2 linked regions of the Rhinolophus ferrumequinum genome follow. The protein of the gene in region 1 purifies or fractionates together with the protein of each later gene. This does not show direct contact. Links are inferred from orthologs where the notes say so. Each region holds a gene or a part of one and is shown in the gene's direction. Other genes may lie near its edges.

Region 1 (8,262 bases):
GTGCTCCTAATGCCGAGGTGGCGGGTTCGATTCCCACATGGGCCAGTGAGCTGCACCCTCTACAGCTAAGATTGTGAACAACAGCTCTCTCTGCAGCTGGGCTACCGTGTGCTGCCATGAGTGGCCAGTGGCCAGCGTGAGTGGCCCGCAGCAGGCAAGAGCTGCTGCGAGCTGCTGTGAGCGGCTGACAGACAACTGGCGACTGACTGTCTCAGAAGGGGCTGGGAGCGCAAGGCTCATAATACCAGCATGGGCCAGGGAGCTGTGTCCTACACAACTAGACTGAGAAATAACGGCTTGAACCAGCGTGGGGGGGAGGTGGAAGAAGGGGGAGAAATAATAAATGAATAAATAAAAATAAATAAAAGCTTCTTACAACCCTCCAACTACCTCCCCACAGACCAGTACTTCAGTACCCAAATACTGCCTGACCTTTTTCTGGTCCGTGGGCACTACTAAAAATATGCAGTCGTCCTAAGGGCTCCAAGATACACCCCAAGGATTCACTGGGCCTCTCTGTCTCTTCCTCTTCTTCAGCCTCCCAGTTAATAGCCTGAGTGTCCTCCATGATCTGGGAAGGAAACACATTAGCAGCATCATAATCTCTAACATAGGTTCACACACACAGTCTCGGAGAGGAAACTCACAACTGGGGGCAAACCTGGATAGCTATGGAAGTTGAAGCTTCGCTTTATGCCAAGCATTCTGTTGTTAACCATCTGAAGCACTGAAAAAATATTTTGATCATGACACAGAATAAGAAATAAATTTTATCAGGTTCCAAGTTCACAACTAGATGCTCCTCGACTTACAATGTAGTTACATCCCAATAAACCCATAGTAAGTTGAAAATATCCTATGTAAAAAATGCATTTAATACACCTAACCTACTGAACATCATAGCTAAGCCTAGCTTACCTTTTATGTACTCAGAACATACATCAGACTACACTTGAGCAAAATCATCTAATGCAAAGCCTATTTTATAACAAAGTGTTGAGTATCTCATGTAATTTATTATGTGTATCACTTTTGCCATATTGTAAAGTCCCAAAATCCTAAGCCAAACAATTGTAACTTGGAGAATCTCTGTATATGCAAACACACAAACTTATTTATATAGACAAATGTTTTCAGAAACAATGGTTAGCCTTATTATATGCAATACACAGCTAGTTTTCATGTTATTCTATTTTTTTTCTATTCTATTTTTAAATGTCGATTTGCAACTCACTAAATTGATTTAATATCCACTACTGGGTTGCCACTCACAGTTTGAAAAACACCATGTTAAAGGGAGCTAAATTTTGCCAAACATTATGTTATGGTCAAGTATAGTAGCCATACAAGGCAGGAATTTAGGAAACTAAGGCTAAAAATATTAAGTATTTGCTCAGGATGACATATCAGGTAAGTGGAAAGGCAGGAATAAATGTGCTCTGGCTGCAAAGCCCATGCTTTTTACATTTTATCGGACTATCTCAATGTGATCAGATCAACTGACTCATTTAATAATCACAAGAACCCCGTAAAGTATTATTTATCTTCTATATCTCAGATAAAAAAACTGCAACACAGTTGGATTAAGAAACTTGCCCAAGATCACCCAGATTATGTCTCTCCTCTGTTTAATATTCTTTGACACCTTTCCAGGCCCATTGTATAAAACAAAATCTAAACTCCTTAGCAAGAGCCTCCACAATCTGAACCTCATGTCCTGCAATGTATTCCCTGCCCACCAAAACCGACAAGTTCAGCCACATGGACCTTCTCCCCAATCTTTGAACACACTGTCCCTATTGTCCCCCATATCTGCGTGCCTTAAACCAATTCCTTGGCCGGTTGCTCGTAGCTTTCTGGTCCAACTCCTACCCATCCTTTCCGATTCAGTTCAAACCTCCCTTCCTCAGTAAAGCCTTTCCTGGAGTCTTCTCTGCTTACTGGTGTTCCTGATGTATTCACATGTTCCACGGTGGTCAATGGACTTGCACATATCCTGACACTTCTTACTATATTATTACATAACCATTACTTTCTATTTCTGCTTTCACCCGCCCCCCCCAACCCCTCTCGGAGAACTGGACCATCAAAACTGTTTTTTTCCCTAGGGTCCATCATATTCTCTCAACAGCAGTTATTCTGCACCCGGAACCGTTACAAGTATTAGGGATATACATTCATGAACCAAACATAAAACTAACCCTGCCCTCCAGGATGTTACACCATAGAGTCTACTGATGAAAGAACCAATGAAAGCAGATGAAAACTCAAAATAGCAAGAGTGGAATTCACTTAGAGATGCCACCCTAGGGCGAAACCGTTGACAGGGAAAGTAGGACGCCTCCAGTGGAGACTCAGCGGATACCTACGACCCTCGGCTCCAATCCAATAGGCCAACCCCTTTGATCCCCACCGGGGTGGGTTCCCTCCAGGCCCAGCGGTCTCCCAGTGACTTCATACCTAAACTCAGGGCGGGGAGTCAATTAAGGATGAGTATTATAATCCGAAAAGAAAATTTCCTAGTCTCCTCCGCCCAGTCGTACCCAAGGCACGCCCCTCCCGCCCTCCGGGAGAACCAAGATGGCACCCGGGGAGCGGCGGGAGAGGCCCCCAACAACTCACCTACTTTGAGTCCCCGCGCGCGCCACCAATAACGGTCGCGAACCGAGGGGCGCGAGCGCTGTAGTCGGAGCCTATTCGGTGATTGGTTCCGGCTGCTGTCTTTCACAGCCCTGCTGCAAGCCGATTGACGAAGCCCCCAATGCGGAGGCAAGTCAAAGCCCCGCCTCCTGCCCGCCCACTTCCGGCTCAAAGGGCTGGCTTTCCCCGGGAGACTGAGATCGGTTGAGAGGCGGAGGTCGCGTGCGCGCTCAGAATAGCGCACCTCGATTGGGCAGCTCCAAGGGACCGCCCACTACCGCTTCACCGCCCACCGCCCCCTTCCCGCGCAGACATCCAAGCCACGACCAGAGAGTCTCCCTGCCGGTAGCGCCTAGAGGGGCTTTCCATAGTCGTCGCCCGGCGCATCTAGTGCGGCCAGAACGCCCTTCCTAGGTCTTCCCAGACATGGTGGCTGCTGACTCATAAATGAAAATGGGTTGCGGGTTGCAGTCGTGGCCTGAGGCTGCAATTTGGAGAACAGCCTTCAGGCGTGGCGCCTGAGGACTTCTCACTGCGATAGAAGTTCATTTCCTTTTGATTTGGCCCGTTTAGTAAAGTCATGTCATTTCCTCCCTGAGAATACAGCCCTGATAGACTTTTGAGGTCATTTTCCTAAAACAAAGATCCCTAGGCCAAAAGTGAACCGTTTTGCTAACCATCTTAAAGGCTGATCGAGTTCTTCCAAGAACTGAAGAAAGGATGATAAAATCATTTATTTAATTATCTCATACTAAGACAAGAGGATGGTAACAATTTTGACGTGTATGTAATCTAGAAAGTCCTTTTGCTTTCGTTACTCCATTCTGACCACAACAATCAAATAGGCAGAAGTAGATTTTACAGAGGGAAGTGAAGTTCTGCGAAGTTAAATGACCTAGCTAAGTTCCTACAGCTAAGGTAAGGTAGAGACAAATTAAAACAATTTTAAATTCCGATTTTAAATTCTGAACTCTCTCCACTACCACAAAATAACTACTTTCATTGTGATCATGCCCTAAAACATAAAACATTCTGTTATAAGTGGATAGAGGGGTCATACACAACTTGATGTTCTTTAAAAGATGACTGAGAGATGTGTTGAATTTAATGTGAATTAATGATGACCTTGATATCACATGTCGTCTGTTACAGTACTTACCACACTTTATTGTGTATACACTTCTCACCAGATTGCAAGATCTTGGAAGCCAGGAACTAATTCATAATCATTTTTTGTATCCCTAGCTTCTGGTTTGGTGGACACTTAGTATCTATCAAGTGAGTTAATCCCTGAGAAGCATGTCACTCTGATTTGAGCCTATCCAATTTTTCTTCCATGAATCCCCCCCCCCCCCCGCCATTTTAAAATTTCAATTCTGAGGCTCTTGAAAGGTTGCAATGGTCAGTCAATGAAATCAACAAATTGAGAAACCACTCACTTCATCAAAGTGTCTAAGGGCAGGCTGGAAAGACTCTGAAATTCTATCAGGTGTTTCACCCCATAATTCTTTTTGACAAGACCACAGTCTTCAACGCTGCTCCAAGAACCAGATCTCTTACATGGACGGAGACTTCCCGCTTCACAGATCCCAAGATATCAGCTTCTCTAAACCATTCCATTTATTCTTTGAACATACCCTCCAATTACATCTCTATCCTGCAAAGCCCCTGTTGCAATTATCATTAGAAAACATTCTAAACATTATCATTAGAAAACTCCCAAGGAAATAGCAGGAAGGCAATCCCCTCCTTCTTCCTGGGATAGCTGGGGAAGCAGCGGCTTAGTGAAGCTCATGCTTTCGGTCACCAAAGGGCCAGTAGTTAGATAGCAGAGCAGGGTGCCCGTTTCTCACCATTTTTCGCTGAGCTAAGCAGTCCTGTCTTCCCAAGAGCGACCACAGCGGGGAGCTTTCAGGGTGTGCCCACTCCACCGTCCAATGCCTGGCACCCTAGGGTTCCTAATTCCTGTAGATCCCAAACGACTCGCTTTTTGCATTAAAAAAACAAAACAAAAAACAACTCAGGCATAGAGGAAAGTCATCTTGGGCAAGGTCATTTTTCAAAAAAACGCCAAAAACCTAAAGCCAGTGTCCACCCATTTGTCCCTTCATTTTGCAGCGTGGACAACAATAGAGGACTACAACTCCCAGAGAAGACTGCGCTCGCCCAGAGCAGAGACCAATGGACATAGACTACCTAAACGGCATCGACTAATCAGGGCCTGCCTCGCGGAGGCTTTGTCTCGCAAGTGCTGCGCGGGAGCCTTCTCCCGCCTCCCAGCCCGGCGCACGCGCGCCCCGCCCTGCCCGCCTTCCCTCCAGCGCCCTGCCCTCTTCTTTCTCCCTCTCAGAACCTTCCTGCCGTCGCGTTCGGACCTAGCTGCTCCAACCTCCGGGGCGCGTCCCATCCTTCCAGCCTGCGACCAGCAACAGAGAAAAAAAATTACATATTTTCTTGCCCCGTACACACCTTGAGGCGAGCAAAAAAAAAAAAAAATTAAATTTGAACCATGAGGGAAATCGTGCACATCCAGGCCGGCCAGTGTGGCAACCAGATCGGTGCTAAGGTAAAGATTTTAAACCTTTTTTAACTCTTACTTCTTTTTGAGAAGAAAAAAGTACAAATTATGGAGAATGGTTGTGGGCTGTTTGCAGTCTCCATCCTTAGTCAATATTTGCCCCAAAGAAGTTTTATATGTATAACACATATTTGTAGCTATAATTTGCATTTGAAAAATGGAGAATTATTTTTCTTGACACTCATTTTGGGAAGCTATCAAAAGCACCCTTGAGGATTGGGGGGCGGGAAGACCGAGGTTCTGTAAGGTTTTACTTAAAGGAGATCTAACGGTCCGAGGGCCAGGGAGGGAGGGAGATGCGGAAACTCGCCGAGACAAAGCAAGGCGAGGTTCCCCCATGTGCATCCAACCCCCTTGGCGGGTCTTCGTAGGGCCAAGCCCGAGGGCGAAGAGGGGAGGTTGGGGGTGGAGAGCTGCAGTGCCCGGCTCCATAAAGGTGGGGGACGTGGTGCTGTAGGGTGGGCTGCACTGCGCGTTACCTCTACAAAAGAGTAGATAGAGATCTCCACGCGCCCACGATCCCCGTGGGGCAGGCCCATAGTTTTTCGTGGGTGGAAGGCTAATATGTGCTGGATTCATTTTGCTTCCTTTATTTCGCTTTAAAGAGACCCTTTCGGGCTTGGACAGATAAGAAAGAGGGCGGGAGAAGGGTTTTTTTTCTCTAAAGGGTCTCTCGGGACTAAATGGAAAGAAGAGGATCCTCATTTTAAGCAAGAGGGGAAAGCTAGTGAAGGGATAAAATTCCGAGACCAAGAGGGGATTTTTTTTTTTTTTTTTTTTTTTTTTGCGCGCGGGTACAGTGTAGCCGGGAGGAAGTGCGGCTGCTACGTTGTAGCAGAAGGGCAGGGCCCTGCAGGGCGGGGACTGTGGCCCTGCCGGCCACCAGGTGGCGCGCTAGCCCGAGCCAGGTCCCGCCCCTCGCGCGCTGAATTCGCGCTTCGGCTCCGCCCACGCGCGACCCCTCCCTTTGTCGATGGCTGGGCGCGCGCTTTTGCTACAGTCTTGTGGGCGGCTGGCGGTGGGCGACTGCGGCCCCTGGTTACCCCGGCTCTTTGTGCGCGGCGTGGAGGGGCGGTGCCCAGCGTGGGGGGCGAGGGGTACACTTACCTAATCAGGTTGGCTGCCTCGGCCTAGCCGGGTGTCTGCGATCTCCAGGCCTTTCCAGCTGGACATCATTTCACATTCCAAGCAGTGAAAGCTGCAGCTTTCCCAGGTGTGGGGGTGCCTAGGGGAATGGCGTGGCTGGCAGTTAGGTGGAGGCAGGGTCATAATCGGCTGGGACCTGAGACGTTGACGGTTCATTGTTCTTTCTCCACAGTTCTGGGAGGTGATCAGTGATGAACATGGCATCGACCCCACTGGCACTTACCACGGCGACAGTGACCTGCAGCTGGATCGCATCTCCGTGTATTACAATGAAGCCACAGGTGAGGGAAGGAGCTCCGGTCTCATCTCCTTTCCCACTTCTGGGGTCTCCACCCTTTGGACGAATCCATCCTCTCCCTTTGGAGATCTTCCTCTCTCTGATTCCCACCACCCATTGCCAAAGGCTAGCTCTGCTGCCACCTGGTGGCAGCGCCTGGAATCACAAGTTTAGGTCCCTAGCTGTCACCCAGCCCCAGTTTATTTACCTTCTAGGTACTAATTTTCCCGGCTATACATTCTTACACGTAGGTGGAAAGTATGTTCCTCGTGCGATCTTGGTGGATCTAGAACCCGGGACCATGGACTCTGTTCGCTCAGGTCCTTTTGGCCAGATCTTCAGACCAGACAACTTTGTTTTTGGTGAGTTACACAGATATTTGTAGATACCATATTCAATTTATTTGTGTGCAAGGGGACAGCAAGAGTTAGGAAATGATTGTTGTGCTTGAGAGTTTTTATAGGGCTGTGTTCTGGGATGTAATGGAGGGTGGGGGTGTGGCTGCCTTAGATGGTAAATTATGGGGGTGATATATCACTGGTGAGGGAGGAAAGTAGATCGATCCACAGGCATTGTTCCAAAAACTGAAAGGTGGAAACGTGGTTGTGTATGTGCCACATTTTACTAATCAAGCTTGCCTCCTGATTCCAGGTCAATCTGGGGCAGGCAACAACTGGGCCAAGGGCCACTATACAGAGGGGGCCGAGCTGGTTGACTCGGTCCTGGACGTGGTGCGGAAGGAGGCTGAGAGCTGTGACTGCCTGCAGGGCTTCCAGCTGACCCACTCGCTGGGGGGCGGCACGGGGTCCGGGATGGGCACACTGCTCATCAGCAAGATCCGGGAAGAGTATCCCGACCGCATCATGAACACCTTCAGCGTGGTGCCGTCGCCCAAGGTGTCCGACACGGTGGTGGAGCCCTACAACGCCACCCTCTCCGTCCACCAGCTGGTAGAGAACACTGATGAGACCTACTGCATTGACAACGAGGCCCTTTATGACATCTGCTTCCGCACCCTCAAGCTGACCACACCAACCTATGGGGACCTGAACCACCTCGTCTCAGCCACCATGAGCGGGGTCACCACCTGCCTCCGCTTCCCTGGCCAGCTCAATGCTGACCTCCGCAAGCTTGCAGTCAACATGGTGCCCTTCCCACGCCTCCACTTCTTCATGCCTGGCTTTGCCCCTCTAACCAGCCGTGGAAGCCAGCAGTATCGGGCCCTCACTGTGCCCGAACTCACCCAGCAGGTATTCGATGCCAAGAACATGATGGCCGCCTGTGACCCCCGCCACGGCCGCTACCTGACTGTGGCTGCCGTGTTCCGGGGCCGCATGTCCATGAAGGAGGTGGACGAGCAGATGCTCAACGTGCAGAACAAGAACAGCAGCTACTTCGTGGAGTGGATCCCCAACAACGTGAAGACAGCCGTGTGCGACATCCCACCCCGCGGCCTGAAGATGGCGGTCACCTTCATTGGCAACAGCACGGCCATCCAGGAGCTGTTCAAGCGCATCTCAGAGCAGTTCACGGCCATGTTCCGGCGCAAGGCCTTCCTGCACTGGTACACAGGCGAGGGCATGGACGAGATGGAGTTCACCGAGGCCGAGAGCAACATGAA
Region 2 (7,977 bases), on another chromosome or scaffold:
TATCAGCACACAAAAATACACAATAATGAATTCCACTCAGCAAGACACCGCCACAAATCGACACGAACACAGCTGTGAGACACTGACACACCAAGGTTATGAAACCTTACTGAGCTGTGTGTACAGCGCTACCAATGTAAGCGCGCGGTGGCAAGTTTGTGAAGTTAATTGTCAGACCTTGTATAGTGCTGTACATCAATTATTTTTCAATAAAACTAAGGGGGGGGGGAGTGCAAATCCCAACCCTTGTGGAGCTATCATTCTAGTAGGGATGGAGGGATGGGGAGAATAAATGTAACCAATTAAGGGAATTACACAGGCTAGTAGAGGCCTTAAGTGTCATGGGGGAATGAATATAAACCAAAATAAAGGATTTGGGGAATGTGGATGGGGGATGAGTGGTTTCAACTTTAAATAGGGTGGTCAGGACTGGGCCTCACTGAGATATTGAAACAATAAATTTTTTTTGAGATATTGGACATTTGAGCAAAGCATTGAAGAGAGGGAGGTAGCAGGGAGGTATGGATTAGGGGCAGCAGGAATGCGCTGGTGGATTGGAGAATTGATAAAGGGATGAGGAGAGAAGCAGGCACTCCCAGTAGAGAGTTGCGAAGGCAATTCATGCAGGTCCTCATTGGCCACTGGAGAACTCGGGCTCCGACTCTGAAAGATACAGGGAGCAGCCAGGGGACAGCACACAGCCAAGGGCTTTAAGCGGAGGAGGGACAAGATTGGTGCACCGGTTAGAAAGGTCCCTCTGCCTTGGGGAAGAGGAACGGCGAGAGGCTGCTTTAGCCATCTCGGTGAGTGGAGCTCCTGGCTCATCTGTCAAGTGGAGATAAGAGGGTACCTGGCTCTCAGGTGGCTGAGTGAAGGCTCAGCAACTACTCCCTCCTCACTCCCCCATCTTGCCCTGTAGCGACAGGAAGCATCGAGCAGCCTGTGGAGGATGCCACAGGCACAGGGGAGGTGAACATGGACGTGTTATTGGAAGAGCTCAGATTTCCAAGTCCTTCCCCCGCTCCTCAGGTTCTGAAAAAGACTGGAGATGTCACGTGCCCTTGGATGGATGACAGGGGTGTGAGGAAGAGCTCATTTCGTTATCTGGAAGTTGGAAAGGACACCTCATCTGCCTCCCACTCCAGGCAGCTGGGTTGAAACCTATAAGGAAGATGCTTGAACACTCTGACTTGTTCTTTGAAGCATTCAGCTGTGGCTTGCTCATTGTATGCACCAAGTGGGGACAGGGCCACCCTTGGATTCTTAAGGCAGACAAGGAGATGGCGTGGGAGCACTAGAGCAAGCCAGGGCAGAACTGGGGTCCATAGGCAGTTGCCATTCCAGGGATTAGGGGGCACACTCTTTTCCCCTGGCTTTCTTTGTTGTTGTTGTTCCAGGATAAAAAGAGTTTTGTTATTTTTCTTTTATGATTAAAAAGGTGATACAGGAAGTGTATGGATGGATCAAAGAGGCTATATCTCTTAAAATTAAAACTATAATGCCAAATTTTCTTCCCCACACATTGGGTAACACACCTCTTTAAAAAGCATCCCGGGGGCAGCCGGGTAGCTCAGTTGGTTAAAGCGAGGTGCTCTTAACAACAAGGTAATGGGTTCAATTCCCACATGGGCCACTGTGAGCTGCGCCCTCCACAACTAGATTGAAACAACTACTTGTCTTGGAGCTGATGGGTCCTGGAAAAGCACACTTAAAATAAATTTTAAAAATTTAAAAACTAATAATAAAAAATAAAATAAATAAAAGGCATCTAGAACTCCATCCTCAAGTTACAATCCACTTACTTAGCCCTAAGAAACTCTCCCTTCAAAAGCGGGTTTCACAGCTCTCAGGATTTGGGTATTTTAATTTCACGATTCTTTCTCGTGAATATATATATTCATAGCTATATATAACTACAGCTCTAGAGATCTTCTTTCCCAGTTTTCTTCCAAACATATTCCCTAGAGATTTTATTTCCTTAAGAGCACCCTTTCCTTCTTTCCAGAAGGCAAATGAAAACACTGCCTGCCAGTAGGCTCCTACGTACACTTGTCTTTAAAAGCCCCTCTTCCCCCCCACCCCATTTCTAGCTACATGCAATTATTATTCAAAACAACTGCTTCCTGGTCTCCGACTATTTTACAGAGCTTCCAGGTTGATTTTTCAGTTGATATTCATCGTTATCTACTATGTGGACCCGGGGAAGCCGCAATAACTGCTTGGAACTGGGCAGGGCCGGAAGCCTGACATTAAAACAAGGATTTCAATGCTCATGGCAGTTAGTAACGTAAAACAATCCAGAAGTGCTTCAGGTAATAATTTGAAGTCCCCCTCAAACCTGTTCCAGAAGTATCAGTTGAATTGCAGTGATTTTCAAATTTTTGTGACTGACTCTTAGTTGAGAAGTACATACATCCATATAAATATCTGAAACACATTTTAACAAACACTATAAACTTTTACTTAATGGGCAAAGGCAGCAATGCTTTCTGTTCTGTTCATTCTATTTAATTTTTGCTAGTGCTTCTAGGTTGAACACATGAAACTGACTGATATCTTAGTAGTCAACATGGGCGATTACATATGATTCAATGTATTTGTGACACTAATTTCACAATCTCCTGAAGGGGCTGCATACCACAGTTTGAAAAACATTGTTTAGTGAGTTATTGTCATTTTAAAAATTATAATGGTACTAAAGTTCACTTAATTTGGCATGGACATCTTTCCACGCAGGCACATTATAGCTCCACCTCTCCTTTCTCAAAGGTTTCATGAAACCCCCCCACACACACACACACACATGTACCCCAGCTTAAGTAACTGATCCCCACTGAAGGCACTTAGATTTCTTAGGAACCAGGAAAACAGTGCACTTTCCAGTTCAGATCTGAGTTTAAATTGCTGTCGCAGCTCCTTCATTCTCTGGACTCCACTATCACATCTCCAAAAAGGAAACAGACCTCTCAGGGTTGTCAGGAGGATGAAGTAGAAAATGTGGAGTACTTTATAAACAGTCACACAGAAGCTAGCCATTATCTTCAGCTGGTGCCTGACTGCCCCAAGCATTAGAACCTTCTGTGTTGCCCACTCACATTTACCCTGTGGTAGGCTGGGGGAAAGGGCTCAAAATAAGACAATAAGGCTCACCTTTTTGAGTTTACACTCTGCCTAGTCCCTGGCCTCAGTTTCCTCATTATTTTCTGGACTCAAGCACTAAGGTAAAGAACCAAACTCTTGGATAAAGTCATTCATTCAACAACAAATATTTGAATATCTACTATATGCCAGTCAGGGTGCTAAGCACCATGTGAGCCTTAACTTTCTCATCTGCAAAAGAAATAGACAAATGATGGGCACATTGGGTGGGATAATTCTTTGTGCAGGTCTGTACCCCGCCCTCTAAGTGACAGGGACCTCCCTGGTAATTGGGACAACCCAATGATGCCCTGTCACATTTTGAAAACGCCCTTCATGGCATTTTCTCCCTTGATGGAGAACCCCCGCCCTCCCTCTATGACTCCAGGTGCCAGGGAAAGGGGGAGGCCTTGTAACTGGCAGGTTCAGGATGACACCCTAGGTCCAACCAAGATGAGGAGGATCTGGACCATGTTTTCAGGGAGCAGAGCTGCTGGTCCCGTGCCCCACACAAAAACGCAGGATATGGTGAGGCCGAAAAGGAGCACCAACGGAGCCATAGATAGGGGAGTCATACCACTATATTCTCAATGGCGGCTGGTTGAGACACAAAAGCAAACATCCACCAGTACCCCAATGCGGGGTCTTCCTGCACCCCTCTCTCTGGCAGCCAGGCGAGACACTGGAAGTAGGATTCACACGATCCGCAATCCATCTGCTTGCTAACCGCACTTGCCAACCACAATCCGAAGTCACTTCTCTGCCAACCAACCCCTTTGCGGAGCGAGGACAGTTATATTAGTGGCTGATGGCTAATCGGTAACAGCTAATGCCCATCTGATTATAGCTGATGGCCATCTAATAACCAAGCCAGCACCTTTCCACGTGAGACCAAGAGCCTGGAAACTGCTCTCTGGGACTCTGTCTCCACAGAGCCTTACACTGGCCAAAGGATAAACTCATCAACAATCTTGGGGCTCTCCATTGGTTCTGACTCCTGCCTCTTCTTACTTCCTATGCAGCCAAAACACAATCCAGGAACTTCAGGTTTCCGTTCCCATTTGAGCCTGGGGTCCTGGAGAGGAAGGAATGGCGGTGCTCTCGTCCTTCAAGCCCTCGGTATGCGAAGGGTTAACTGCAGGTTGGTGAAGAGTTAGCGCAGAAGTCCCCATCACCGCTAGAGGGACCTTCGCAGAGGCACCAATGGGTGACTTCGCGGTCACGTGGGAATGAGGGCGGGACCAAGCGAGGGGCCCGCCAATAGGCTGTGTTGTCAGTGGGCGTGATAGCCAATAGGAGCAGGGCGAGGGGTCCCGGGACTAGGAAGCAACGGCGGCCAGGAGGGGGTTACGGGGACCATGGGCCTTCTGACCATCCTGAAGAAGATGAAGCAGAAAGAGCGGGAGCTGCGACTACTCATGCTGTATCCTCCCGGACGCAGAAGCGGCCAGGGTAGCGGGGCCCCGCCGGGCAGGCGGCACCAGGCGCCCCCTACCGGGCGCAGGGTGAGCGGCCGGCCGGCCCGTCCCAACTGCCCATTGTGCGTCACGCACGTGGGGACTACCAATCACTTGCGGCGGGGGCCCGGGAGGAGGCCGTACCATCGACTCGGGGCGGGGGAAATCCGTTTTCAAGGCAAAGGTGTGAGCCTCATGGCGCAGCGGCCGCACCAGGTGCCCCGGTGTAGAGGGGAAGTGGGTCCTGGAGGTGACTCTGACGCCACACCACCCTTTGGTCTGGCCCAGGCTTGGGGCCTCGGTTCTCCTGGGCTCTAACCTCCTCCCCCTGCCCGTGGGGGCCGGCCTCAGGCCCGGGCCCCGCCCTCAAGGTCGGAATCCCGGGGGCGTGAGGGCACCGTCCTCAGCTCCCGGGAGAGGCGTGTGTGGCCTCGGTGGGTTCGTTCGCCAGTGGGTCCAGTAGTCGTGTTTGTTTGCTGCTGCACGACCCCGTGGTTTTTGGCTGACGGGTTGTAGGCCCGAGGGCCCCGCCGACCTTCCGAGTCCCATTAGCAGGCGTCTGTATTACTTTGTGCCAGGCCCCGCGTGGACTCTGCCATCCAAGAGCTGGGCTGCCCTCACCCCCAGCTCCCCTAGCAGGGAGAGAAGACACGTGCACAAATAACTCCAATAATATTCACATCATGTCTGTTTAAAGAGTTCTTTGAAAGGCTCAGAGAATTCACTCATCCAATAAATATTTTTTGAGCACCTACTCTGTGCTAGGCACTGTCCTAGGGGCTGGGGTAAAACAGCAAAACAAAAACAACCCCTTCCTTCATGGACATTATATAATGCTGGAAGGAGAAAGATGTTAACAAAGCAAATAAGTAAAATATATCGTATGTATGGAGGAGGATGCATTTAAATAAGGGGGTTAAAGAGGCCACGTTAAGAGTGAATCGGAGGTGAGGGACCGAATCATGTAGATATCTGGGGGAAATTGTTTAAGCAAAGGGAACAGCAAATGCAAATGCCTGGAAGGATGAACTCAAGAGGGTCTTCAAAGGAATGTTAAGGAGGGCAGTGTGGCAGGAGGAGAGTACTAGGTTAGGACAGAAGGGTGATGGAAGGGCCTCACTGTAGGACCTTTCGCTTCTTGGCTTTTCCTTTAAATGAGAAGTGTGGAGGGGAGATGTGCTCTGAGAATAGTTAGGCCACTGCAGTATCGCGGATGAGATAGGATGGTGGCTCAAACCAGGTGAGATAGATGGTGGCTCAAGGTGATGGAAGTTGGGGGCATTTTGACAGTAGGCCAGCAGGAATTGCTGGGGAGAGAGAGAGAGAGAGAGAGAGAGAGAGAGAGAGAGAGAGAAGTCAAATATGACTGCTAGGTTTCTGGCCTGAGCAATTAGAAGAATGAGGAGCCATTTGCTTGGATAGAGAAGCGGGCAGGGAGCAAGTTCAAAGGGAAGATGGGAGTTCACTTTTGGCAGCTGGGTGAGACATATACATTTGGGAGTCATCAGCATAAAGATGGTATTTGAAGCTGTGATCCTAGATGAGATCATCAAAAGCGTGGACAGACGAGGGAACCGAGGTGTTCCTAGTTCAGGAGGTCAGGGAGATGAGGAGTGGCCAGATGTGTCCTGGAGTGGAGGAAGGCACAGGCTACTCGGTCAGGTGCTGCTGGTGGAGCAGAAGGATGAGGACTGAGGACTGCCCAGCCCTTGGAGGGCAACATGGGGGTCCTTAGGGACCGACATTGGCAAGAGCAGTTGTGGGGAAGCAGGGCGAGCAAAAGCCTCATGGGTTCAAGAAAGAGCAGGAGGACAGAAATTGGAGAGGATGAGTGTGGACACAGGAGTATGGATTTGCTGTAAAGGGGGGAAATAAAGGAATAAGTAAGGGGGGGAGGGATAGAGAGGATGATGTTTGCTGCTTCTAAGGGGGGAGAGACGCCAGAGGGTATCAGTTGAGGGGAATGATCCAGTGGGGAAGGAAATGTGAATGGTGGAGTTAGGGGTCAGGGAATAGTCAGCAGCCAATGAGCAGGGGCTAAGTCTGAGTCTCAGGAGAGGTGCTCTGTCACCCCCACGTCACTAGTTTGAATCACCCATGTCAGGTGAGGAAAAGGTTACTGAGTCTAAGGCCTGGGCCCCCCTCCCAGCTGCAGACCCCTTAAGTGCTAGAAGGAAAGAGGAGGGTGGTTCTCTCTGGCTGGTGAGCTCACGCACTTGTTTGTACACTCACTCAGCAGCAGGGTTTGGAAGAGTCCTGAAACAAGGTCACCCGCTGCCTCCAGACACTTGCTCTTGCTGTTCCCTCTGTCTAGAACACTCTTCCCCCAATGCTTCAAAAAGCTGGCGCCTTGTAGATTGGACCTCAGCTCAAAACCCTCAGAGAGGTCTTTCCTGGCACCCAAGCTGAAGGAAGCTTCTCCGATGTGATGGCCCTCTCTGAAAGCCTCCTCCTTGTATTTCTAACACGCACCAGGACCTGATAGTACCTTGTTTCTCCTTGGTTTGTACCCTGTCGACTGTCTCTGCACTAGAATGTAAGCTGCACACAGGTAAGACTTTGACTCCGGGGTCCCCCAGCACCAGAAGAGGGCCTGGCATTGAGAAGGTATTCAATAAATATTGCGGAGTGAATTCAGGAGTCTTTGGTCAGCAGGAGATGATAAGATATGTTTCTTGATACTTTCACATTTATCCTGGGCCGATTATGGGTCAGGCATGTGCTCCACTGATTTTGATAGGTGGTAGGAAATTATTTATCCCCTAAGAGAGGGGCACTGTGATGATTCACCACCCTGCAGAGCATGGGGGTTTCTCCTTAACCTGGCGCGCCCCAGCGGCCTGGACAACGCTGGCAAAACAACCATCCTCAAGAAGTTCAATGGAGAAGACATTGACACCATCTCCCCAACGCTGGGCTTCAACATCAAGACCCTGGAACACCGGGGGTGAGCAGGGTCCCTGCGGGCGGGCAGCCCAGAGCAGGGTGGGGAGGGTGGGCGAGGGGCCAGGCTGACCTTCCAGCCACCCCTCCCTGCCCAGATTCAAGCTGAACATCTGGGATGTGGGCGGCCAGAAGTCCCTGCGGTCCTACTGGCGGAACTACTTTGAGAGCACCGATGGCCTCATCTGGGTGGTGGACAGCGCCGACCGCCAGCGCATGCAGGACTGCCAGCGGGAGCTCCAGAACCTGTTGGTGGAAGAGGTGGGCAGGGGGCCTGGCTGAGGGGGGCTGTGGGGGGAGCCGGGCTCCCACCTGTATTCAGGCCCCGACACTTTGTGCACATACGTGGATGTGTGGACACCTTCCTCAGCAGATTCCCTGAGGGCTCCATGACCCCAGAGAGACACCTATGGCAGGGTCTCTTCCTTCCCTGAGCCCT

What was found.
Region 2: the proteins of TUBB (region 1) and ARL2 purify together in Homo sapiens (co-immunoprecipitation; 3 studies listed by BioGRID and IntAct, counting the BioPlex papers as one, with this or other methods). This does not show direct contact. The link is inferred for Rhinolophus ferrumequinum from reciprocal best matches to the Homo sapiens genes TUBB and ARL2.

Annotation. Positions count from the first base shown.
Region 1 is NC_046286.1:1,311,057-1,319,318, forward strand, and holds the start of TUBB (tubulin beta chain), read left to right. Parts: upstream 1-4,964; 5' UTR 4,965-5,149; coding exon 5,150-5,206; intron 5,207-6,536; coding exon 6,537-6,645; intron 6,646-6,892; coding exon 6,893-7,003; intron 7,004-7,292; coding exon 7,293-8,262. UniProt on the Homo sapiens protein: Tubulin is the major constituent of microtubules, a cylinder consisting of laterally associated linear protofilaments composed of alpha- and beta-tubulin heterodimers.
Region 2 is NC_046294.1:6,581,318-6,589,294, reverse strand, and holds the start of ARL2 (ADP-ribosylation factor-like protein 2), read left to right. Parts: upstream 1-4,407; 5' UTR 4,408-4,496; coding exon 4,497-4,561; intron 4,562-7,431; coding exon 7,432-7,542; intron 7,543-7,636; coding exon 7,637-7,799; intron 7,800-7,977. UniProt on the Homo sapiens protein: Small GTP-binding protein which cycles between an inactive GDP-bound and an active GTP-bound form, and the rate of cycling is regulated by guanine nucleotide exchange factors (GEF) and GTPase-activating proteins (GAP).